2 linked regions of the Astyanax mexicanus genome follow. The protein of the gene in region 1 purifies or fractionates together with the protein of each later gene. This does not show direct contact. Links are inferred from orthologs where the notes say so. Each region holds a gene or a part of one and is shown on either strand. Other genes may lie near its edges. The genes, in order: bsg and gnpat.

What was found.
Region 2: the proteins of bsg (region 1) and gnpat purify together in Homo sapiens (affinity purification with mass spectrometry; 3 studies listed by BioGRID and IntAct, counting the BioPlex papers as one, with this or other methods). This does not show direct contact. The link is inferred for Astyanax mexicanus from reciprocal best matches to the Homo sapiens genes BSG and GNPAT.

The regions. Positions count from the first base shown.
Region 1 is NC_064423.1:16,790,788-16,802,976, reverse strand, and holds the start of bsg (basigin), read right to left. Parts: upstream 4,749-12,189; 5' UTR 4,630-4,748; coding exon 4,563-4,629; intron 1-4,562.
Region 2 is NC_064408.1:45,653,562-45,666,541, reverse strand, and holds the start of gnpat (dihydroxyacetone phosphate acyltransferase), read right to left. Parts: upstream 5,311-12,980; 5' UTR 5,156-5,310; coding exon 5,132-5,155; intron 3,072-5,131; coding exon 2,880-3,071; intron 2,765-2,879; coding exon 2,588-2,764; intron 69-2,587; coding exon 1-68. Other genes in the region: c1h1orf131 (uncharacterized protein C1orf131 homolog), read left to right, coding at 5,465-5,561, 6,909-7,180, 8,517-8,576, 8,809-8,904, 10,208-10,294, 10,451-10,497, 10,699-10,828. UniProt on the Homo sapiens protein: Dihydroxyacetonephosphate acyltransferase catalyzing the first step in the biosynthesis of plasmalogens, a subset of phospholipids that differ from other glycerolipids by having an alkyl chain attached through a vinyl ether linkage at the sn-1 position of the glycerol backbone, and which unique physical properties have an impact on various aspects of cell signaling and membrane biology.

The sequences.
Region 1 (12,189 bases):
GCACTACTAGTAAAATGAGCTTAGTGTAACTAACCTGATCTTTTGCTCTTTAAACTGGTACAGCCATCATCAAAGGTCACATTCAGATGGCTAACATATTTTAGCTCTGACTAAACAAACATCTTGTCCTGTCTCGTGTTGCCAAGGTAAGATTTATCCCCTCATACAAAACATTTCCACTCTATGCCCACTTGTCCTAACATTAAATCTGGAGAGCTCACAAATTATCAAACACCACAAAGCACTCAAAACTGGTTGATTTTAGCCAAAGTCTTCATTGGGTCCAAAGTCTGAGAACAGGCTGTGAACTTGTTTTTAAGTAGTAAACAACAACACCCACCCTAAACCTCCCCCCTACTACCCCCACTCAGAGAACCAGATCATTAGAGAACCATCAGACATTAATGACTACATACACTCACCAAAGATCACATCAAACAGATCTACAGAAATCCAATCACACATTACAAAACACACATTATAATACAGTCAAAGAGGAGCAGCATCCAGCTGCCTGGGGACAAGTTCTGATCCCACAAACAAGTAGGTCAAAGTCACAGGTACACAGATTCTACACAGCCCTACAAACAGCCTAACACCAGGTCTAAACTAAACTCAGGCTGCACTCCAACAGTTAACAATAAGAGAGAGCAGCAGAAGTGTGAATTACAACACTGTATATTACACAATCACTCAGAGGGAACTGGACACGTGAGGAGAATCAGCCCCTCAAGCACTTTCTTGCACTCGGACAGCAAAATGGCCGTCACCAGACTGCCGTCACTCCAATTAAAAAATGGAAAGCCTATTCAACTGAGGACAAATACCGGTGTGCTCTTCCTAACCCAATTTTCTAAGCTGTGCCGAGCTAAAGGCTCCAGGGACAATCTAATTTTAATTCTGATGTGGAACTGCTGTGGCTTGGCTCACTCAGCCATGAGGCCCATTCGCCTGCCTTCCGAGGAATTCTCCAGGCAAAGAGGCCACTGAATAACCAGGGCAACTAAAGAAATCAGCCATAACCTAGGACTGGGCAACAGGGGCAAAATTATGTCACAATAATGTAACTGTTTGTATTGAAATTCCAATGTGGTTTCAAACCAAAGAGTGTTTTTTTTTTTACTTACAGTTACTTACATTTTAGCCAGTCGTGAAACAGATGAAAGTTATCTACCACACAACAATAATTTCCCTTCAAACAGGTGTAATTATATTAACATGCTATTACTTTTTCTTTAGATAAGTGGATTAAGTGATCCTGAAATGACAAAACTATTGTTTACTGCAATAAATTCTGCGACAACATAGTGATCAAACAAAAATCCAGTAAGTGACACGTAGCGTAATTTATTGATGCATTATATGATTAATACCACTTATTTCTACAGAGTAGTGGACTGCACTAATGTCTTCTTTTGGCTGATTCCCCCAATGCTGCTGTAGTAAACAAACACATACTGCCCAGCCCCATTCTAATATGTTTTTGAATCTCAACCTTAAAACAAGTTTCATCTGGCCTACCTGAAATCTACACCAAAACAAGGGCAGACCAGCAAACAGCATAATAACTACACTGCACTTTGTAATGGAGGGCCTGGGCTTAAATGTAGGCTTACCTCAGCTATGGAGAATAGCACGTAGCCTCCCACTGTGTGGTACTATTTCTAACTGAGCCTGAAGCTGATTAGGTGTAGATTAACAGGCACTGACATTCATTCAGCTTCTACTCAGAGGATAAATAAATTACAGTATGAGGCACGCAATTTCATTTCTATATGCATTGTTGAAAATAAATCAATTTAATGAAATTGCTCATTCACTTCCATTAGATACATTTATATTGTGTATTAGGGGTGTTCCATATCTTATCGTACATTGCTTTATAATATTTAAGCAATAAAAAACACTCCACTTGATTATAGCAGCATTCTATTTAGTATTTATTTTGTTGCTTAGTAATAAGCTTTGTGTATTTTTAGTACTGTATAAATACAATTAATACAATATTTAATTGTTTTGTCAAATGAGGAAGATTGTTATAAGTAATAATTTATTAAGAATATTGTTGCTAATGTACCCTGAAAATTGTGACATCATATTAGGGGCATACTGAACACCCCTGACATATTACATAAACTATAGCTACAAAAACACGTAACAGTAGTCACTTGATATTTTCATATCATTTTCTCATTTGCATTCAAATCAAATGAGATAATTTACAGCTTGGAGTTGCCATGTGACCTAAAAACAGGAGGAACAGTATTTAAGAAGATTCACTTCAGTTCAGTAAGTTCACGCTCACATTTCTATGCACTGCCCATTAAAACTGCTGGAACATTATAATAAGCTTATCTTAAATCCTTTACAGACTAACGACAAAGTAGTAACGTGACTTACGGAGAGCTACGGAAGGCTGGACTGTTGCGTAATTGACTGTAATTCTTGTTTATTACACAGGATACACAAACAAATGCAAAATAACTTGCCCTATAGTATCAGTCAGTGATAATTGACTGTTATGGGATGGATGAGGTGGGGGTGGTGAGAGGAGTTAGCAGGCAGGCAGTAGCCTGGTGATCACAGCCACGATCAATTCACAGCAAATCAGAGGCTTCACAGCAGCCATCATGTCGAGGCCTATGGGCACAGCTAACTGGTCTGAACCGGTTTTGCTGACTGCAAATCTCACTCACTGAAACCCTGTTTATTCAACTGGTTACTGGTTTACTACAGGCAAAAACAACAAAAGCCACTGTGAACAAGCTCACAACCAGTGAACACTAAAATCACTGCTATTAAAAACAACACAACCCAGACAGTCACGTACCTACACACCACTGTTACTGTCCACACCCTTAACATTCAGACACACTATAAAAAAAGTAAGACAACCAAACTCTAAACAGTATTGGGAGATATAAAATATCCCTAACAGCATTACAACTAAATATATGCCTTGTAAAAATAAATAAAGTGGGGAAGAAAAACTCCTTGACCTTTCAGCAAAATATCTAATCAATCCCCCTTAATGGAGAACACTTATTAAAACAGAGACAAGAGAAACACACAGCTCAGGTTAGAGCTGTTTACAATCCTATATACTAACTATACATTCCACACTAATGTACCGATATTAATAACGAGAATGTCTGCAGAATATTTTAAATGTTTAAAGTGAAATTCCAGCATGGTCTCAAAACTCTAAACATGGTGAAATATTAGTTTTAGCCTGTCCTAACCTTAGCCTGAGAAATAAACCTTAACAATAAGCTTAAGATCCAATAAAAGACACATAAGCAGATATGTTAAATGTTAACATTTTGAGACCAAGCATTAGATAAATAACTATGAAAAATACACATAGATATTGAGTGATTTAAACACTTGTTGAAAACACTATCCGGTCATTTAAGTTAGCTCATAAAAACTATAGTATAGTTATAAAAAGAGGTTTATTATGAACCTATTAGTTAATCTCTTAGTTCACTTGTATAGTCCACAATAAGATAGATACATTATATTTACTTATTTATTTTATAAACAATTTGCTAAAATTGTTATAATAATTACAGCGAACAATACACAGATTTTGTGTATGTAAAACACCTGTATGAAAACAGTCGTCAGTAAAATTAACTTACAAAAAAATAACTGAGATTGAACAGAGGAACAATGAGTTAGATGATGACAAAGTCTATCAGAGCTTGTTAATTCCAAATACTAATGTACAAATCCCATAGTATGTGGTTTACTTTGACCCCATTTGTTTTATGATTTCAACGTAAAGGCAGTTTAAAACTATCAAGAAAAGATTAACTTACTTTCATACTTCATACGTATTTTTATCAATTCAATTTAAATAGTAAGTCTGAGATTAATTACCAAATTTTGAGGCAGAGCGATTAGCCAAAACAGTTAAAAGTAGAAAGGTAAAAGGTAAAGTGAGCTCACAAAACTAATGCTCAGTTATCAAGAATAAAAAGAGTTAAACTACAGTTATTAATTCAGATTAATGATTTACAGAGCAGACGAGATACTCTGTTAAGATAGTTAACGCTAAGCGAAATTACTGAGCTAAGGAACAAACTATGAGGTATGAAGAGTTATATTTAAATAAGCTGTTATTACGGCACTGTCAGTAAAACAAGACACAAATAAACTAAATTAAATGAAACCTAACTATGTATTAGGTTGTTTAACGGAGTTTAAACCCGTTTTATAGTTAACAAGCTAAGCTAGGGAGCGTTGGTTTTCTAACGCTTGAGAGGTTTATTTGAAAAACGAGACTAGCATAGCTAGCATTAGCTAGCGGCCTCAACGCTTAGCACTCAGCTAACGACTTTGACAGAAATAGTTTGAGGAAAAAAAAACCGGTCGCAGCTCCAAAACGAATTTAAATTCCTTTATTCACACAAATAACCACAGCCACTGCTGAAAACGCCGTGTCTCGGCTGAATATTATAAATGTTACGTTCGCAGAGAGAGAGAGAGAGAGAAAAAAAACACAGCTAGTTAGCTGTGTTAGCATGTGTGCTAAGTGGTAAGATTGCGGGTTTTACCTGTCCGCAGAAACGCCTGGTCCACACAGAGCAGCAGCAGCCCGCTGAGCACCAGCAGCCGCATCATCTCTGCCTCTCTGTGGGTTTATCACTGACAGCACTTCACCGGGGATCCGCTCCGTTAAAAGCTCGGCTCGGACTGAGGCGCAGCTCCGGCGTCCTCTATTTGATCCTGACGTGCACGAGAACGCGCACGTACACATGGAAAGATGGTGCGTCACCACGTCCGGCCAGTCTCGCTGCGTCATGTTTTTTTTTTTTTTTTGTAGCTGGTTAGTTCAGCTTAGCTAATTTGTTTCACTGTGTGTTTGTTTATATATACAGATCTGGGGAAAAATAAAATACCACTTTAGTTTTTGAATCAGTTTCTTAGTTTTGCTATTTATAGGTATATGTTTGAATAAAATGAACATTGTTGTTTTATTCTATAAACTATGGACAGTTTGTCTCCCAAATTCCAAACAAAAGTATTGTCATTTAGAGCATTTATTTGCAGAGAATGAGAAATGGCTGACAAAAAAAAAAGATTTAGAGCTTTCAGACCTCAAATAATGCAAAGAAAACATGATCATATTCCTAAAGTTTTAAGAGTTCATAAATCAATATTTGGTAAAATAACCCTGTTTTTTTTTTAAATCACATTTTTCATGCATCTTGGCATGTTTACCTCCACCACTGCATTTGGGTAACTTTTATGCCACTCATGGTGCAAAGATTTAATCAGTTCCGCATTAATATTAAAGACATAAAAGCATTATTATGTTTGTCCTATGAAAAATGTTTGTCTTCCACAATCTCCTGAACTAAACCTAAACAACTGAGATGGTGATTTGAGGTGATTAGGAATGAGCTGGAGCTTCACAGCCTGAAGGAAAAGCAGCAACTATTGTTCAGCACCTCCAGGAACTCATTCAAGACACTGAGAAAACTATTCCAGGTGACTCTACTTCATGAAGCCACTGAGAAAATACAAAATCTGTGTACAAATCTATATTTAAAACTTAATGTGCTACTTAGAAGATTCTAAAGTATGAAACATATTCTGGTTTCTTTAACATTTCTGTTTACAAAATAATTCCATTCAGTTCAAGAAAGAAATCACAATGAAGGAAAAGAGGTGTGTCCAAACATTTTAAATGGTACTTTCTGTTGTGTTAAGTAAAAAATAAATTAGTTCTAGTGTGTCTGTAAACATGGAAAATAAAATAATTAAACTGATTGATTCTTTTATTTTACATTTAAATATACATTATTAAAAGCGTCAGCGTGCAATGATTGTGATTAATCACAGCAAATTGTTCTACAAGTTAGTTAATTTTTTATTAAAGTCTTAGTTTCTCCACTGACCACTAGACCCCTCTGCACTTACTTTCTTCAAGCTATAAAATCTGGGTCTACCTGCAACACATGGTGGAGGTGTTTGTTTTGAGGTCAGTAGGCCGGGCTTTTAGTTGATTAAAGAGTGTATTATTCTGTATTATTCCATTATCACGGAAGGGGGGCAGGGATAGGAGCAAGTCTGCATTCAGAAGAGACATTAACGTGGATGCTTGGCTTTTCCAATCCACTTTAAATAACAGAATGTCCCACTGCGCCTTTGTGGGGAGGTCAGTGTGGGGAGGGTGAAGGGATCAGGATGAGTGGGATCTTTTATGTTTTACATTCAACCAAAAGCAAAATCCCTTTCAAATGAACACGCAGAGCTTAACACCACTCTGCTCCACCTGCTGCTCTACATCCAAACCTGGCAGTTCCATATGCAGGCCATGCTCTAGTTCTGTTAACAGCACCAACACTTTTTTTATTTTAGTTCAATTTATTGGTGTTATATACTGTACACATCTGCTGATATGCCACACATCAATAAACAGGATTTTGTACTGTGTCCCATGACTTAAAGTATGCTGCATATTGGACCTGTAGGATATGTGTGTGGGGCACATGGACATTTGCTGTTGTCACCACAGGAATCAGACAACACATTGAACATAGAACCCAGTGAGCAACAGAGGCAAACAACTCCCTCTGTTGGAGGCAAAAAACCTTGGGGGGAAGAATCCAAGACTCAAATGTACCTTTTACTATCACAAGGATAACATACATGAGGGGACCCATCCTCCTCTGGTCAGGCAACTTATAAATGAATGTTAAATTTACACACACACATATATATATATATATATATATATATATATATATATATATATATATATATATATATATGTGTGTGTGTGTGTGTGTAAATTTAACAAAAACAGGTGTAAACTGGCAGGATAAGCAAAGTCTATCCTGGGAAGCGAGACAAACACACTGGAGAGAAGCACGAGGGAGGAAGCCAGGGAGAGAGGAGCAGGGTGTAGCAGCAAACTATGGGCCCTGTATACTGTCAATGGCAGTGGGCCCCTATCCATGCCAGTACACAAAGAACATGAAAGAAAAAAATCAGGATTTTCATGAGCCCCTCTCCATACTGGGTAGTTAGGTCCACTTTTCCCCCCACTTCCACGCCCATGGATGGCGGAGTGCATTTTTTGGAGCCTTAACATTTAACATGACTGGTGTTTGCTTTTCAGCCAAGATTTGGTTTGGATGGGAGTGGAGGGTACGGTCGGACAGAGGAAAACATACTCGCTAGGCTCCTGGTGGGTTACAAAATATTGAATGTTTCTTTGTATTAAATTACATGACATTACACCAATATTTTGGTGGCCTGTTGCGTTAGAAATCCTCCAGTTTTTCTGATGTTATACAGCGCAAAGCGGCAGGATCGAGGAACTGAGGCCACAAGGTGTGTGAAGGAAAGCTGGTCATCAACCAGAACACCAAGGTTTCTAAAAACTTTGCACGTAATACAGAAACACTCTACGGGGCTTTGTCACAATTGAGCATAGAGGGAAACAGTGGTCCATGTTCTGTTTTGTTAAAATATAAAAAAAAAATGATGGAAAGTTTTCTGCTCTGAAAGAAAAGGGTCACAAAGATTTTTCTATGAAGAGATTATTTTCTTATGGAACAGGGCACACAAACTGTTTTTCTTTTCTTTTGAAAGCTATTAGTATTTTTGACCTTATATACAATTTTCTTGTTTGCTTTCTTTTCCGTTTTATTTATTTTAGTTTATTTTCCCTCCACCTTTATATTTTGAATGATCGTTGGTTACTTTTCTTCGTGAAATCACACTTCACACTCAGAACAGTAGGTGGTGGTAATGTGCCTTCAGTTGGTCTGCCATCCACCATACACCCGAAAGAAGAAGAAGAAGAAGAAGAGGAGTTCTCAGATTTGGACGCTGCGTTGTAAGTTAAAAGCTGGTCGCAAAGTTCAGCTAAGAAGCAGCTGCATTAACTAGTAGCTCCATATCTACTAGCTCTACTGAAGCCCTCCATTTACCTCCGGTATATGCTTAACGTCTCTTATTATGACAGGTAGGTTTGAAGATCCAGCTGTGATCAGCAGTTCCACACCTCTGTGCTCAGACTGCTCTGCTGGAGAAACACCATCAGCTCACCTGCTGCAGGTATGGAGATGTTCCACTCTTCACCTAAACACTGCTCTACATTTAGCTTACTCTTAGACACAATTAGAACATTATGCACAACAGCTTCACCCAGGAGCTGGAGGATCATCTTCTCCTAGTTTTCTCTGATCAACACTTTTATTCTGCTTTATTTAAGCTGGATAGGAGATTAAGGGGCTATTGACAACCCCTGACAGTTGCTTTATTACATTACATTACATTACATTTGGCAGACGCTTTTGTCCAAAGCGACTTACAATATTGAAGTGCAAATAATAGAAGAGGTTAAGTACAAAAATAATAGAAGTTAAAAATAAAGCATCTATATATAGGGCCTTAAGGAGGTCAGAGGGAAATAATGGGATAGAGGAGTAGAGAAGAGGAAGAAGGAGATGAGGTTAGAATTAGTTCAGGAGCGAGTGCAGGTTGGAAGGAGCCTGTACTGTCATCACCTTGTAGGCGATTGTAAGCACTTTGTATTTGATGCGAGCAGCAACCGGTAGCCAGTGGAGCTCAATGAGCAGCGGAGTGACATGTGCCCGTTTTGGTTGGTTGAAGACCAAACGTGCTGCTGCATTCTGAGGGAATATTGAGGGAATACTTCTCCTGTCTGCTGGATTAAAGGCTTAAATTGTGCTGCTATTGTTTATAAACTCCTTCATGCTAACTGTAGAGATATCTCCTTTATGTTCACGTGTTTCTCCACAGCAGAGTCTGTTTGTGTACATAAACTATATCTTTATTATAGTTTATCAATTAATAAACTATGTGTAGAGTATATCATTTGATATTCAGCATTTAGATGTAGTGAGTGTAGAAATATTCATGTATGTAGATGTTCCACGGTGTGGGAATTAATGTGCAGTAATTTGTGGAAAATACTAGTTAATTTTTGAGTTAAATGGAATTCTTACTGAGAGCTGGTTAGTGGGAGATTTTGAGATGGTAGATTAAGAGATGGTGGGATAATAGGGGGCAGTTATAAAGCGTGAGAACCATTCAGGAGTGTGATTGTTTAGTAAACAGTCTTTGCGTATTTTTGGGTTCTTCCTACTCAGGAGCACTTCTGTTAACCGGTGGCTCACTTTTAAGCCTTCTAACAGAGAAATAACAGTTCGCATTAACGTTTTCTAATGGAGTTACTTAATATAATATACACTATATGGCCAAAAGAAATCACTCATCTTCCTTCACACGCATGTAAACATCCCTTTCTTAATCCATAGGTTTAAATATAATCGGCCCCTTTACTGATTTAACAGCGTCAGCTCTTCTGGTAAGACTTTTCAGGTTTAGGAGTGTGTTCATGGAAATTTTTGATCAGACAACAACTGCTGTCTTCTAAACTGTGTGTCGGATCCAGTGTATCCAGTGTAAATACCTGGGAATAAAAGCTGAAATGTTGATCCTTTGGATAAGAAGACTGGCCTCACACTTTCAATACTTTTGCAGGGCACTGTATTTGTATTTGTGTATATTTGTGGGGGAAAAAAATAAAATAAAAAAAACAGTAGTATTTCCAGTTTATTCCATCAGTGTGTAGTTGGTGTGTAAAATATTGTTTTCATTATATATGTAGGCTAGGTGTTGAGTTTGGATTCATAAGATTGTTGAAGTTTTAGTTGAGGTGTTTCAACTAAATCCAGATGTAAAACATTCGTCATAATGTGTATGTGACCGGGGCAGCTGTGTGTTAAATAGAACATATAAGGTCTTAGCAAACTTCACGAAAGAAAATGTAATATTACCTTTGTGATAAATGCTGCTTTTTATTGTGATTTCTGTAAACTCTCATGTTTGAACTTCATTTTAAGTTATTCATTGAGACTGTTTTTGGAAACTTGGTGATGTATTTCATTACTGTAGCAGCTGAATTACTGCAGTTCACTTTAACAATCTGTGTATTTTAGAGTTTAGTGAGGTTACAAACCTACAAAAAAATGTTAAATGCCACACTAATTCAGATACTCCTGTATTTTTATTTTCTGATCTTGGGCTTTCTTTTTCTTTGTTTCTTTCAGAAATAAATACTATCCTGTTTCAAGTCTTCTCATGCCTCTGGTGTCAACTGATAGAATTTACCTGGATATAATTTAGCTTCACAAATACAGATTCAGAAGATTTCACAAAAATATTAATCTGCTGAACGAAGGGGAGAAGATGGAATCCAGAAAAATCTCCAATACTCAGCCAATATCCTCTCCTACACCTAGCAGACAAATGCAGAAAAGTACTGGCAAGAAAACTCACCACTGTTCAGACTGCGAAAAGAGTTTTACTACACAGAGTAATCTACAACAACACCAGCGGGTTCACACAGGAGAGAAACCGTATCACTGCTCAAAGTGTGGGAAGAGTTTTGCTGCACAGGGTAACCTGCAACAACACCAGCGCATTCACACTGAAGAAAAACTCTATCATTGTTCAGACTGTGGGAAGAGTTTTGCTCATAAGAGTTATCTTAAAACACACCAACGCATTCACACAGGAGAGAAACCGTATCACTGCTCAAAGTGTGGGAAGAGTTTTGCTGCACAGGGTAACCTGCAACAACACCAGCGCATTCACACTGAAGAAAAACTCTATCATTGTTCAGACTGTGGGAAGAGTTTTGCTCATAAGAGTTATCTTAAAACACACCAGCGCATTCACACTGGAGAGAAACCTTATCACTGCTCAGATTGTGGGAAGAGTTTTACTACACAGGGTATTCTAGAACACCACCAACGCATTCACACTGGAGAGAAACTGTATCATTGTTCAGACTGTGGGAAGAGTTTTAATCATCATCTCAAAAGACACCAACGCATTCACACAGGAGAGAAACCGTATCATTGTTCAGACTGTGGGAAGAGTTTTTCTAGACTAAGTATTCTTAAAAAACACCAGCACATTCACACTGGAGTGAAACCATATCACTGTTCAGACTGTGGGAAGAGTTTTACTTCACAGATTTATCTCAAAACACACCAGCGCATTCACACTGAAGTGTAACCTTATCACTGCTCAGAGAGCGTTAATAGTTCCATTATTATCCATTGATGAGATACAAGTGCATTAAGAGTATTTTCTAAATCCCCTTTTCACACCTATATCTTTACAGGAACCAGAGGGCGTCCAGGGGTAGGCCTAGAGATTAAAGTCAAGAAAACTATTAATGAAATTATAAAGTACAGTCCACTGTATCCAGCAAAGGCTTGAGGAGACAGAGAGCTCATTATCTGCAGTGGAAGATTAAAATATCAGACTAACAAGTGAGGATAAATCCCCTCAGATGATTCTGGTCAGGTTTCTGGGTTCCTCTGTCAGAGATCAAGTGCACAGGGCAAGAAGGAAAGGGAAGTGCTTTAATGGGAGGGGTATACTCTAATCCCTAGTATGTCCAAAGAACAAAAAGAAGAACTGGTGAAGAAAAAAAAATCCACCAAAGTGAGGAGGCTGCTGTGAGAGTGTAATATTTATTTGACACTGGCATTATAATCTTTTCTGCTTTTATGTAGGCAATGGATGTATTGTTTGAAGATTTATGTTTGTCAGTTTTTAAAATAAAATAAAAAAAAACACTGATTTTTTTTAAACATCTACTTCGGGTCTGGTCTCCTTACTTCCCCTCTATTTCCTTTGTTGCAACCATTTTAAAAACGCCAACCTATGTTGTAACAGTGTACATTGTTTAGAAGCTTCATATCATTGCTGTCACTTAAAAACCTTTTCATAAATAATCATTACCTTACACCTAAACATTAGCACATCTGAGCTAAATAATATCAATGTGGAAATAAATGTTTGTTTAGTATTCATTTACACTTACAATAGGTTAGTTGTGCTTATAATATATTATATATAGTACACAAACCTAATATTTTATTGTTTTAAAGTTAGCTGAACAGCTAGCTAGCTTATCACTGAAGTTAGCATTTTGGCTTTTCCTCTTTGACTTTTTGTTAATTAAATTTGATGTGTCAAAATGTATTCTGTTATCATAAGCCTTATTTTCTCAGGAATTTCTGGGATGTTAATATTTAATTAATAAAAATCGAATAATATAGACCTGAAGTGAATAGCTAAGTCCTTTATTATGATTCTGTAATCGGTAGCTAGCTAACGCTA
Region 2 (12,980 bases), on another chromosome or scaffold:
AGAAAGTCCATGTAGCTGCGGTGACTGGGCAGAAGAACCACTGGATGCTCCTGAATGGCCTGCTGAAGCTGGAAACAATGATTGATACAACTGATTAGTAAAATGTAAACCAACATCAATCAAATGCAGCGGTGTTCACAAAAGTGGTAGTGGTTATCAAGCAAGAAAATGTAATCTCAGCAGATGTTTTATTATTTCTTTTGATTATATTTACATGAACAGACCTTTTATATACATGTACAATATAGTATATATATATATATATATATATATATATATATATATATATATATATATATAGTATAATAAGGTATAAAAATACAAACATTAAACAAAAATTAGAAATATAATCAATGCAATAATCAACACAGCAAAGCCTCAAAGTTAAAGGGAATTTTAGTACTGTTATTTGCAAGAGATCAGACCAGAGGTCACACTGTGAAGACTTTGATATCCGATTTGAGCGTCCAGATTGTCCAGACAGACGCATCTGTACAAATCTGATTTGTAAACTTATTTTAAACCACCTCCAAACATGTTTTTGAAATGTAATATTTATGTGTTTTTGTTGTCCAGAGTAAAAAATCCAAAACTAGATCTTAAAATCTAAAATCTAAAATCGAACTAGATACGATCTAAATAGATTGTTTGAGGATAAAGATACAGATACAACATAAGATTTGGGATTGCACCTGAACATAGCCTTATAGATGGCAAGATGTTTACACCTCTTAGGTAGTGTCTCTGTTTCAGCAACAATTTCTCTGAACTTTGGACAGTTGCTACATCAGTACACAAGGTGGCGATATGGTACTGGAACTGGAACTGGTTCAGCTCTCTTCAAACAAAACAGAGCAAAGACCAGCAATTGATCATTTCTTTTTCTACAGATTGACTTCTATATACAGTACCAGTCAAAAGTTTGGACACACCCTCTCATTCAATGTTTTTCTTTATTTATTAATAATATTATTTATTATTAAATTGATTTACTACATTTCAGATTAATATTAAAGACATGCTAACACTTAAGGACACATATGGAAATATGCAGTAAACAATAAGTGTTTGTCCTCCACAATCTCCTGACCTAAACCCAACTGAGATGGTGATTTGAGGTGATTTGAGATGAGCTGGAGCTTCACATTGTGAAGGAAAAGCATCAACTATTATTCAGCACATCCAGAAACTCCTTCAAGACCCTGAGAAAACTATTCCAGGTTACTCTCCCTCATGAGAAAATACTGAATGTGCAGATCTGTCCTCAAAGAAAAATGTTAATATTTAGAAGAATCTAAAGTATTCTGTTTTTTAACACTTTTTGTTTACACAATAATTCCACAAGTGTTCCTGTGTAGCTTTAATACAGTCTTCAATATTAAATGTACCATGTAAAAATCATAAAAAGAAAAAAACTTTTGACTGGTACTGTATCTATATAGATCCATATACTAATATTGTTAACATCACTCAAAAACCTCACAGAAATATTCTGAAACAGTACTGAAACAGGAAAAATGACAACTACCTTCCACAAACAATTAGGCTTTCATTTCAACCAAGAAAGAGCTCACCAGAATTTCTCTGTGTAATCAGTTTATCGCGGTCTTCAAACAACTGAAATGGGGTCTGTCTCATGATGAAGGATTTTTTGCCAGTTATACTGTACATTTAACCTGCTGTGGGGAAGGTTATGTTTGCGATTTCTGATAACATTAACAAACATAAACTCTGTTCAAGTCCAAGTTCCTGACCAATCAGGGTCCTTTTGGTTCATATTTGTTTTTATGTGTCCTGTCTGTGGTATTACATGGAAAATAAATGCTTTATTTAGGGAAGAAAATACCTTTTTTAAAATAACTGGTATTTAAATAAGAATGACGGCAGATATGACAACATTGCTTTTATCATTAGAAGTGCTTGACTTTCTATATAATATATTTATGCATGAATATTAGGGGGCTCGGCTCCTCGTGTTTCATGAAGTGCACTCCTGTATTTTCACAATAAAGCACTGCAACTAGGACTGGGCAGTATATTGTAAATATGAATGTAATTTGTAGATGTATTTTACATCTATTAAATTTATTTAATTGGTTTATTTAATTTATATTTTTAAAACAATGTAAATGGTTTTTGGGGGGATGACACTTAGCAGAGTATATTCTTCTGTACTTTATGTCATCATCATAATTAAAGGGGCAGCATTACAAATTAATTTAATCCAGTGCAGTTTGCTGAGTGACAAACTGCAAAGTATGAAATTGCCTTCAGTGTTTATTTTTAAATCTATATATTAAATCAGAAACAATTTATAATTGTTAACTAATTATAGATACTTACTAACTTTATTTGATTTTTTTCATATAGTATATATATTTTTTTTATTATATCACACAGCCCAAACTGCAACAACACCAGCTATCTTTGGACAAAACTAGTCACCATCATCCTTCATATAACTGGACACTCTTACTGGCTTACTAGACTAAACACAGAGCCCAGGCGTAGTGCAGAAGTGTTTCATGATTGGGGCATCTGGCCTTCTATATATAGCTGTGAAAGTGGCATCAGCTGCTGGACTCACCCTCTGAATGCCCTCCTCGTTGACACACACGCTATGGAAGAGTACTTTGAAGGCCTTGCTGAGGGTAAAGGCGAAAAAGCGGATGGTGCCGAGCTGCAGGCGGTGGGCCATTTCCTCCAGTAACAAGGACGCCTCCTCCTGAACCGCCTCCTGAGACTCACCACACTCTGCTGAGACCTACAGAGAGTGATGTGTACATTGTTTAAAAAAAAATAACTACAGTATACTGAAGGCAAACCGAGCCAGCTTCGGCCTCGTACTTCAGATGCTCATTTGTGTAGAGTGTTTTTACCTGGCTGATGACATACTGTAGAGAGTCAGACTGCAGGACGATGTTTTTGAGCATGCTGGCCTTGCATGGAACCAGTCCCTTATAGAGAGCGGGTGTGTAGCACCTGAGAGCATATCTCAAATCACTGGAGTTTCGTCTCTCCTCAAGAATATCCTCAAAATCGTCCCTCTTCTTCAGCACCGGGTCCCTGGGCTACAGGACAAAACACAGAAGATACATAAAAAGAACGTTTTATGAAATTTATGATACATCATCACACAGCCTTTAATTTTTTTAAACGTAGTAAGTTTAATTTTGCAGGACCAGTTCCAAATCTGAAAAGCTTGCAACAGGTTGCTGAAACATGCAAACAGGGATGTACTCCAAAAAAAAAATCAAACAAAAAAAAGCTACATTTGAACTGAATGTAGCTAGCTGACAAGTCTAATCCAAAAATAACCAATTGCAACATATATGTAACAGATCCTTTAAAAGCTGTGGAAATTACAGCATTCTGTCTTTTACTTTAACTCATGAAGTCCCTAAGCGACATTTACTAATCATCATGAGAGCATCATTACAAGACAGTGTGTGAATCTGTGTTTATTGATAATATTTAGAGTCATGTTTTCACATTAAGAAACAAACATTAACAAGATGCTCACTTAATTTAAATTATAAATTAAATTTTTAATTTGGTATCAATATTTAGAAACGGTTCTGGGCTCTAATGTGTTAAGTATGTTTGGCATATAAAGTTTGCTTCCTTTTGCTTCCAGTTTTAGAACTGAAGCTAATGAGATTAATGTAGTTTACAAATAACGGACACCCAAGAGGTCATTGCAATAAAAACAGCTTCAAACCAAGTCCACAAATAGAAACATCAGCATAGCTAGAAGAGACATCACAGAGATTAAGCTGTTTTGAATACTGTCTTGACTGTTTGACCCTATAATTACCAATATACTGTAGCTATATCTGTGATAGGATCAAAATGTACTATTTTGCATTTTTATGGCTGTTGATTTGAATTGCAGTACTTATCATGTAGTTTCTCAACCCAGTCTCAGTATAATCCAGTACATATGTTCCACATATACACAGTGTCCTAAAGCTTAAAAAGCTTCACAACCCTGTTAGTGGAGGCCCATTGCCCTGCACATTTTAGCGCATTCCCTGCCTTAACACACACTTTAAATCAATAACAGGTTGTTGATCAGCTGAACAGCTCGGCATTAGGATCAGGTGTGTTAGGAGTAGGAGCAGGACCCGGGACCAGGGTAAAGCAATGCTGGGTGTGTTAGAAGCTGAGATGGAGCAAAAGGTGTGGCGATGTTGGAATATTGTGACATTAATTTGAGATCATGAGGGTACAACTTTTTTTGCTGTTTGTAGCAAAAGAAACAAATCACACTGTTCTCATTTCCTATTAAATAATATATTCTTGAGAAAGATTCTATCTGTCCAGAATCATTTATTTTACTTCAGTCCTGGATATATGGAGTGCATTATGATTATCATGACATGCTGTATCCTTGTTAGCTAAATGTCTGAGCTAACACTAACTAGCTGTTGCTAGTGCTAACTAGCTAGCTAACTAACAAGCTAGCTAACAAGAGACAAACACAAAGACACAAAAATTCTTACTTAGAAAAGTAGTTTTTATTTATTTATTTTAATTTATGTTGTCCTTGTTGTATTCTATTCACTAATTTTAACCTCAACCATGAATAACACTAAAATCTAAACTTAACCAAAACCTTACCCTAAACAGGAAATCTAACCCTACATCTAATCCTAAACCCAAATCTAACCCTAAAATGTGAAGATTAGAATTATTGGATGTAGTGACACATTCAGTAGATAATCATCTACTTTCAGTTGCATTTAATAGACATGCGGTTGGATGTTAGTTTAATATTTAGTTGAATGTTAGTTGAGCATCTATAAGGAATTTATAATGAACCATCCAAATAAAGTGATACCAACTTCAGACAACAATCTTGACCAAATTACTATGACTGTGTAAATCAAGAGTTTTTTCCCTAAACAATCTTACGTTAAACTCTTAAAACAGTTCCAGCTGATCTCTCCGATTGAGGAATCCCTCTCAGAGTGTTTCTAACTATATGAGGTGATAAAAGATCAATCATTTAATCTGTGCAGCTGTAGTTAAACTGAGTTCAGCAGCTGTAAGAATCTAGTTAGGTTGGTTTAGGGGTCAGGCTGGTTTGACAGCTGGGTCTGAGTGTATATAAATGTGTGATACTCACCGAGTAGAGAGATTTAGAAGCCATTCCGACTCACAGTCTGTAATAAATCATGGGTGAGCGAGTTTATCCTGCAGGGAATGACCTGAGCGCGCACTCAGAGGCTGCTAAAGTCTGAAACAGTGACCGGACTGCTGGATCCACATGGGTGTTGTCACTAAAAACACCCACCACTAAAAGCCATTTTCTTCTTCAGTGAAACGCGAGGTGACGGACGGTGGCCGGTATAGGACAGAGCGCGGAGTACGGGAGCCGGGGCGTGTTTACTACACGTGTGTGTGAGAGAGATCCGGAGCGGATTAAATACAGAGAGCGCCGTGTTCAGACCGAGCGGAGATGAAGCGGAGCAGAGCAGAGCGTGGAGAGGAGGAAGAGGGAGGAGACGAGGATCAGGAGTTTCTGGACCGAGTTCTGAATAAGCTCTATGATTTCGGTTAGTGTTCATTAAACCTGATCAGATGACTGTTAGCTAGCAGGCAGGCTAACGTTCATTCAGTACCATCAGTGCTAGAGCTGGTTAATCCAGGTCCAGAAAGTGGAAATCCAGCCCGGGATTTTAATCCAGCTGCGTTAGCTACTTAATGGATTGCTGAGCTGCAGCAGATTCGCTCTGGCAGCTGGAACAAAATCCCGGAATGGATTTTCGTGTGTGGACCTGGATTACCAAGAACTACATATTTACTATAAAAGTCCTCTGCTTTTAATTTTCTTATTATTACTGTTGATTTAATGCATTGTGTATATTATAATACTGTGTATTTGTGTAATAATTTTACTTTTACCACTTTTAGTTTTTGGTATTACTGCTGTGTTGCTACTTTGTTATTTTATAGCTAGACAATTATTTAAATGTCGTCTTATTCGTGAATTGCTTATTTATGTCGTTAACTAGCTAACTTACCTAGTTTGTATTTTTGTTGTCCCACACAGAAAGTAAATAAATGGATAAATGTAAAATAAATGTACTTAGGCAAACATTTCAAATGTATCTTTACATTTTAATTTGCATATATTTTCAAATTAAGTTTCAAAACATATTTTGGACTTTTTCTTATATTTCCAGCGTATTTATAATGGCATTTTGTGCATATGTTTATTTTCTATATGGTATAGTTGGTTGTTTGGGTTATTTTAAGTATTTTTCTTCATATGAGAAGTATGTTATACATACTGTTTATTATTCATTTAAAATGTAAGCTGATTAATTAATGAATTCAACTGATATAAAACAAAACTATACACATATATAGAAAAAATGCTTTTCAAGATCTATATATTAATTATTAAGGAATTATAATTATTATTAAAGATTACATCTAGAATAACAATAGTAGCTGCATAGCTAAAATAAAAAGTAGGCTTACTAAGAGAGAGTTCATACAATCTGTTATCAGTTTAGGAAAGTTGTATCACAACAAAATACACATTTGCTCATTAACTTTGTTCATTATGTCTCATCCCCTCAACTACATCAAGATTGAAAAGTGAACTGTGATATAAGTACAGCTAGTCCGTTTTAATTTATCTCCTAATACACTTCACTAATGCAGGGCATCCTAATAATTGAACTGCTCCGGCAGTTTAAAGTTACATGCAGTTTTCCGTAATCTTACTTGTGTTGATGCTGAAGCTAAAGTGGATCTGGAAGCAAAAAAGAAAAAAGGGAATCATCATTCTAGACTCATTCTACTGTGAGTGTTATTCTGGCCTGGAGAATGAGAACTACAGTTGTGAGCATAAGCAAAAAATAACCCCACTTTCTCTTTTTCTGCTTGGCTAGGAGATGGATCAAAGGGAAATCGATCAAAGAAAAAGGATAAAACAAGGAAAAGAGTTCCTGATGAAGATGATGAGACTGCAGAGGAGTTTGGGGATTCTGAGGATAAGATCAGTAGTATAAAAGATGCAGCAGATCTGAATCACGCAAATGGAGCAAACCATCCAGACTCCACGTCCAAAAGTCCAGCGATAGCATCAGATGTAGAGATTGTTACATTTCAGGATCCACTGAAGAAAAACAAATTAAAAAGACCTGCTGAACTGGACAGTAAAGTAAGTAACAAGTGTACACTTACAGACCACTTTATGTGCACATTATGTTGTACCCAGCTGCTGTTGCACAGTTTATTAGTTCCTGGCCAACACATTTATTATTGGTCAGATTCTGATCACATGACTACGGCTGACTTAACTTTATATGGTTTGATGATAATTTTCAGCACAGCTGCAACTGACCTAGTGGTGTGTGTGTAGTTAAGATACAACAGTATTAAGCAGAGCTGTGTTCCTTGGAGTTGTTAGTGGGTATCCAGCCAAAAAGCAGCACTGTAGCCAGGAATTAACCTCTGAAGAAGGCCGAGATATAATCAATTCTGCCACTGAACTAAAAAGCTTCCCTACTCGAACACACAAATATTGGCAGGTTTATTTGGTGTGTGAGTAGGAAATTTGCCAGTGTGTGCTGGACACCAGCCCTCAAAGACTAAGATTAATGACCCCTAGTGTACTCTAGCATGGTGGAGCAACAAGGTGGGGTCAATATATTGTAGTGATGCACTAAAAATTGCAACAACAAAAAAAAGCACTTTCTGTCTTTGGCCAAATCAGTAAAAAGACCATGATTTTTTTTTTTATTAATTTATTTTATTGTTAATTTAAACAGATAATTTTTTTAAAATGGGAATATTTAATGCAGCAGCCTCACTCTACACCCCTTTCTCCCACAGTATCCATTTATTAACTTTCCACAACAGTTTTTTTTCCCCAGTTGAAAGACGGGAGCTAGAGATAGGATAATAAGTTTGTCTGAGCTCGCTAGCTAACTTAGCCTTAATATCTGTTTTTTTTTATCAGAATACTGACTCTGTTTCTCTGTGTAAAATTCACTTATGACACTTGCGTAGCACTACTGAGGCAAATGTTCATCAGGAAAGCACAGCTGAAGTAGCTTCATGATTTAAAACTGTACCACTTTGGAATCACATGCTTTCAGAAACATTAGCACAGAGTTTTTGAACAAGACAGGGTCATCATGTTAACGAGGGGTGCATCGATACAGAAACTGTGATCTGATTATGATTAAAACTACACTTCTTAAGTAAATGTATGATTAGAATAGCACTACAAAGGTGAATGTATTGAACTGCTTTAAGCTGGTTAAATGTTCAGTAAAAACTTTTAATTGTACATTTAGGTTATTTAATGTATTATATATTATATATAGTGGTAAAAAAAAGTGTCAAAATGAATGAAGACCTGTGAAAGATTTTTTATTTAGTGAGGTGTTTGCAGAAAACACATGATTTAAGTTATTATTTCAAGGTATAAACCATTCTGATTTGTTTTGTATATTTGTGGTCATCATGTTCTCTTTTATGTCTATCACCAGCCACCTCAAGTACAGGACAAAAAGAAAAAGAACCCAGATGAAGAGCTAACCATCGAAAAGGTAATACTGTTTCAAATGAAAAATTCAGGCTATTTTACTGCTTCATTGTATAATGCATACCTTGAGGGATCTTATATATTAAACATGGTTTAGGACTTAATCACCCAGTAAGTAATAAGTGAGTAATTCTACAGTGAACATCTATTTCTTTCTTTAAATAGGCTTAATCATTTTCTTGGCAGGTTTGGGTGGTCTGTTTCTTTAATTGTTTGTTTTTGTTGTTGATCCACAGGCCCGACTGGAGGTGCACCGCTTTGGAATCACAGGCTTTCAGAAACATCAGCAGAGAATTTTTGAACAGGACAGGGCCATTATGCTGGGAGCCAGGGTAGGTTGGGAATAATTACTTTATGGGTCATGACAAGGTAGAAAAGTTTAGTAGGGGTGAACCGATAGTGGAACTGTGTAGATATGTTGCATTCATAAACAGTGCACTGTTCTCAAAAGTTCTAAAAGTGTAATCAGATTATACCATGTGTGGCTTTTTACACAACTGTATAAAGTATGGTAAAGTAATTACTTAGTCCGAATTTTAACTGTTAAAATCAAAATGTAGAAGGTTTACAGTTTAAAATATATGAATTAAAATACATAACCTCTGATTTGTTGTTTTAAAATCAATGACACGATTACATCTAAAAATATCATTAAAAATGATCAGAATAGTTACATAATAGAGATGGAAAGCTCGGTCAGCTATGTAATCTGGAAGATAACTGGATGATCTAGAGCTAATGACAGAAGAATTATCACCATGGTAAGGTAAAATCCACACTCACTGTTCTGACCAATTAGAAACACTTTTTGTGTTTGGGTTGTAAATTATTGTTCTGGACCTCATGATCACAAACAGCAAGAAACAAGACAAACTCCAAAGATTATAAGCCTAGAATCAGACTAGCTCCACCTTGCCGAGGTACAGTGACTGTAGAACTACCTGTTGATGCACAATTTGTGTCCACTGTCCTCTAGCTCAGAACCGCTGGCCACAGAACCACTGCTGACTGGACATGTTTGATTGGCAGATCTGCGCCACCTTTCAGATAATATCTGGATATAAGTTGTCCTATGATGGTCTTTTTTGATTGATGAATGGGGTTGAGGGAAGCAAATGAATAGTCCAGAAAGAGATAAGAAACATTAAGTAATTATGAACATAGATGCATAGGTGCATTGGAATTGGAAGTGGAAAAGAACAACTGGCCAACAGATCCAAGTATTTTATTTTATTAGGTCTAAAACAAAGCTTGTTCTTAATTTGCATTTGGAAGAATATTTTACTTCAAAAATCAAGCAGCTTCTTGATGCCATTTTATCCTATTCTTATTTTTCCACTTCTTCTACCTCATCACCCTCCTCCTTAATGTCTTCAGTTAATTTTGGACTGATGTTAGAAACATTTATAAATAAATAAAATTGATTTCAACATAAATTACGTTCACACTCCTTCAGATCTGTATGCAGCAACCAATCAGTATATATTACTTTATTACTAGTATACTTTCCAAACTTTGCCACACGTTTGGCATTCTGCTGAAGTGTTCATTAAAGTTCATTAAAGTACATTCACTAAAGTGTGAATGTAGACTGGTAAGTGTAATCAACTGTGTTTTCCCTCTTTTCCCTTCCAGCCTCCCAAGAAGGAATATGTAAATTACAAAGTGTATCAGCAGATGATGAAGGAGAAAAAGTTGAAAGAAAAAGAGGAGACGAACCCTGTAAGTTGTTAAAGGGTTACCTTTAGAGATCTACAGTATATGTATGTTAGATGCTGTGTGTATGTGCATTAAAGAACTGCAACATTGTGGATAATACAAGTCTTAATTCTTTTATGAACATTACATTTGTTGACTAATAATTGTGATATTTTCCAGGACACCACGGGAACGAAGAAGAAAAGTGGAAAATCTGGAAAACAAAAGTATGTAATTGTGGTAGACTTTTGTATAGGATAATGTTATGTTTAAATGTAATGGGGCAAAATTAGTTTCATGTTGGCTTAAGTGAACTGAAAACAAATCGAATACTGTGGGTTAGTAAATAGTTTTTTCTTGAAAAAAAAAAATTATACTTGGTTTTAACAGTGTTTAATGAACTTTTTTATTTTTTGCTTGGTTTACAGGACAGAGAAGCGCAAGCCCAGCTCCTCAGGTGGCGATCCAGCGGGACAAGTCGGACGATTTAAGAATGGCATGCTGGTCCTGAGCAACAAAGACATTCAGAAAATAAACACCAAAGTGAAAAAGCGATGATGTGGTCTTCCCACAATACTGACCAGCTGGAATATGACTGGGACTAGGACTTGTGCTCCACTGCTTGTTCTTGCTTCATCATGGGAATATGCAGTGTACAGCTGTGAATTATTTAGTGTTGTTGAATATGGGAACTGGATAGGACATGTATGATACAGACAGTGCATATGCAATGCTAGCTGTCAAAAAATACCTGTGTTAATAAATATATTTCTTCATGTGTGTATGTCAGATTCAAAGTGAAGCTGACACACATCACAGTTGGGATGGTATATGAAACAATACTGATGACGATGAGATTTTCATTTATTTTTTTAATATACAAACCACAGAGAAGTACAAAACATTCACATTGGCAGGAGGAAAGGAGAAACCACATACACTAGCTTTAGAAAAAAAAGAAGCAGCACAGCATCTAAAACGCACACACGCGCACACACTCGTATTTCCCTAGAGGGCTCAGCACAACTGTGTTGAGATTAATGGCCTACTTCTGTTGTGGCGCAGTACAAAGAGAGGTTACGCGGCTCCCCAGGGCCGTGCATGTGCTTTGTCTGATGTTTCAGATGAAAAAGATCTTTTTTGAACCTGGTAGGGTCCTCACACGTGGTCTATCATGGACTGCAGAGTCAGACAGATCTTCAGTTTACTGTAATGTACATATAAAAATAAATAATACACGAGAATCCAATGTTTTCTGAAGGGAAACTCCACCCATGTTTTCAAATTTCTGCATAGCTCAGTGGTTGAAATGTTACAGATTCAGTGTGAGGTTTGGTGTGAAATGGTTAATTGTTTTTCATTGTTTTGCATATGGAAGATAAATGATTCAGCATTGATTTGCAAGATATGTGTGGGGTCTCCTGCATTGAATGTGGATGTGGTTTCTGCTAGAGTTGCACAGACAATTCTAGCCAGAAACTGAAAACTGTTCTGTTCACCGGGGGTGGTTGTGAACAAAATACCTGCACAACTTCAGAAAAAGAATGGTCAGATCCATCTGACTATTTTACTCCAAAATAGACTCCAAATACGATAATTCACAACACCTTGTCATGTTGTTCCGTGTTCAAGCTCACTCACAAGATAACACCTCACAACTTCTACACCAGTCAACATTCTAAATCCATCCCCTGAAGTAACACTTAAGGAATAATAAAGCAGTGTATTCATAATCATTTTGTGTAATAACTTTATGTAAGGGAGCTTTTAGTGGCATTAAACTCAGATATCAGGCATCCGGTTCATTTCAACACCACTCTGTAAATTTCTCTAGATCTGAGCAGTTCACACCAAACACACTATGCTCTAATTTGGTTGTACAGGAGTCATTTCATAATGCAGAAATTTCAAAAATCGGCAGAATTTCCCTGTACAGGAACAGCAACACAAACGCAAATGTAGTCAGGCTGAAAATATATGTTGTAGTACTTGAAGTTTGCTTCTTCAGCTTCTGATCAATATACAGTATACTAAACTTCAGTGTACAGTACAGCTGCTACTATTCTTTCATTTATTAATTTATTTTTTATGATGCATCATTGCTGAGTATCCAGCACGCTCAGAGGAAAGTGCAGTGACTCGGTTTCGATACATCAGCTCACAGACGCCTTGTGCTGATGAGGTGATAGGGCGCCATCTACCCACCCAGAGAGAGAAAGGCCAATTGTGCTCTCTCAAGGTTCTGGCAGATAATGGCAAGCTTCATGACCGGGATTCGAAACAACAATCTCCCAATCATAGTGGCAGGGGTTTAAACCGCTGGACCACTTGGTGTCCTGCTGCTACTCTTATGTACAGCTATGCTAACATACTTGACTTTAAGCTACGCTAATGTACCACAATAACAGTGTTTACTAAACACAGATTAAAGCGAGTGTGTGAGAATTTAACCCTCCTCTTATGTTACGGGTCAAATTGGCTCCTTCTAAAAGTTTGAAGATCTAAAAAACATAGTTAAAAGTACTTTTTCAGAATGAAGTTTCTTCTGCTTAATGAAGTAGGGAAACATTAAAAAAAGTTTGAACCTGTATTTTTTATGAAAAACGAGTGAATTATCCTAATTGAACCATTACCTGTTAGAGGTAAGGAACCCTATTGCACTAAATATTAATTATATTGTTAATAATCAGCAATTGAGTTAGTCATTACA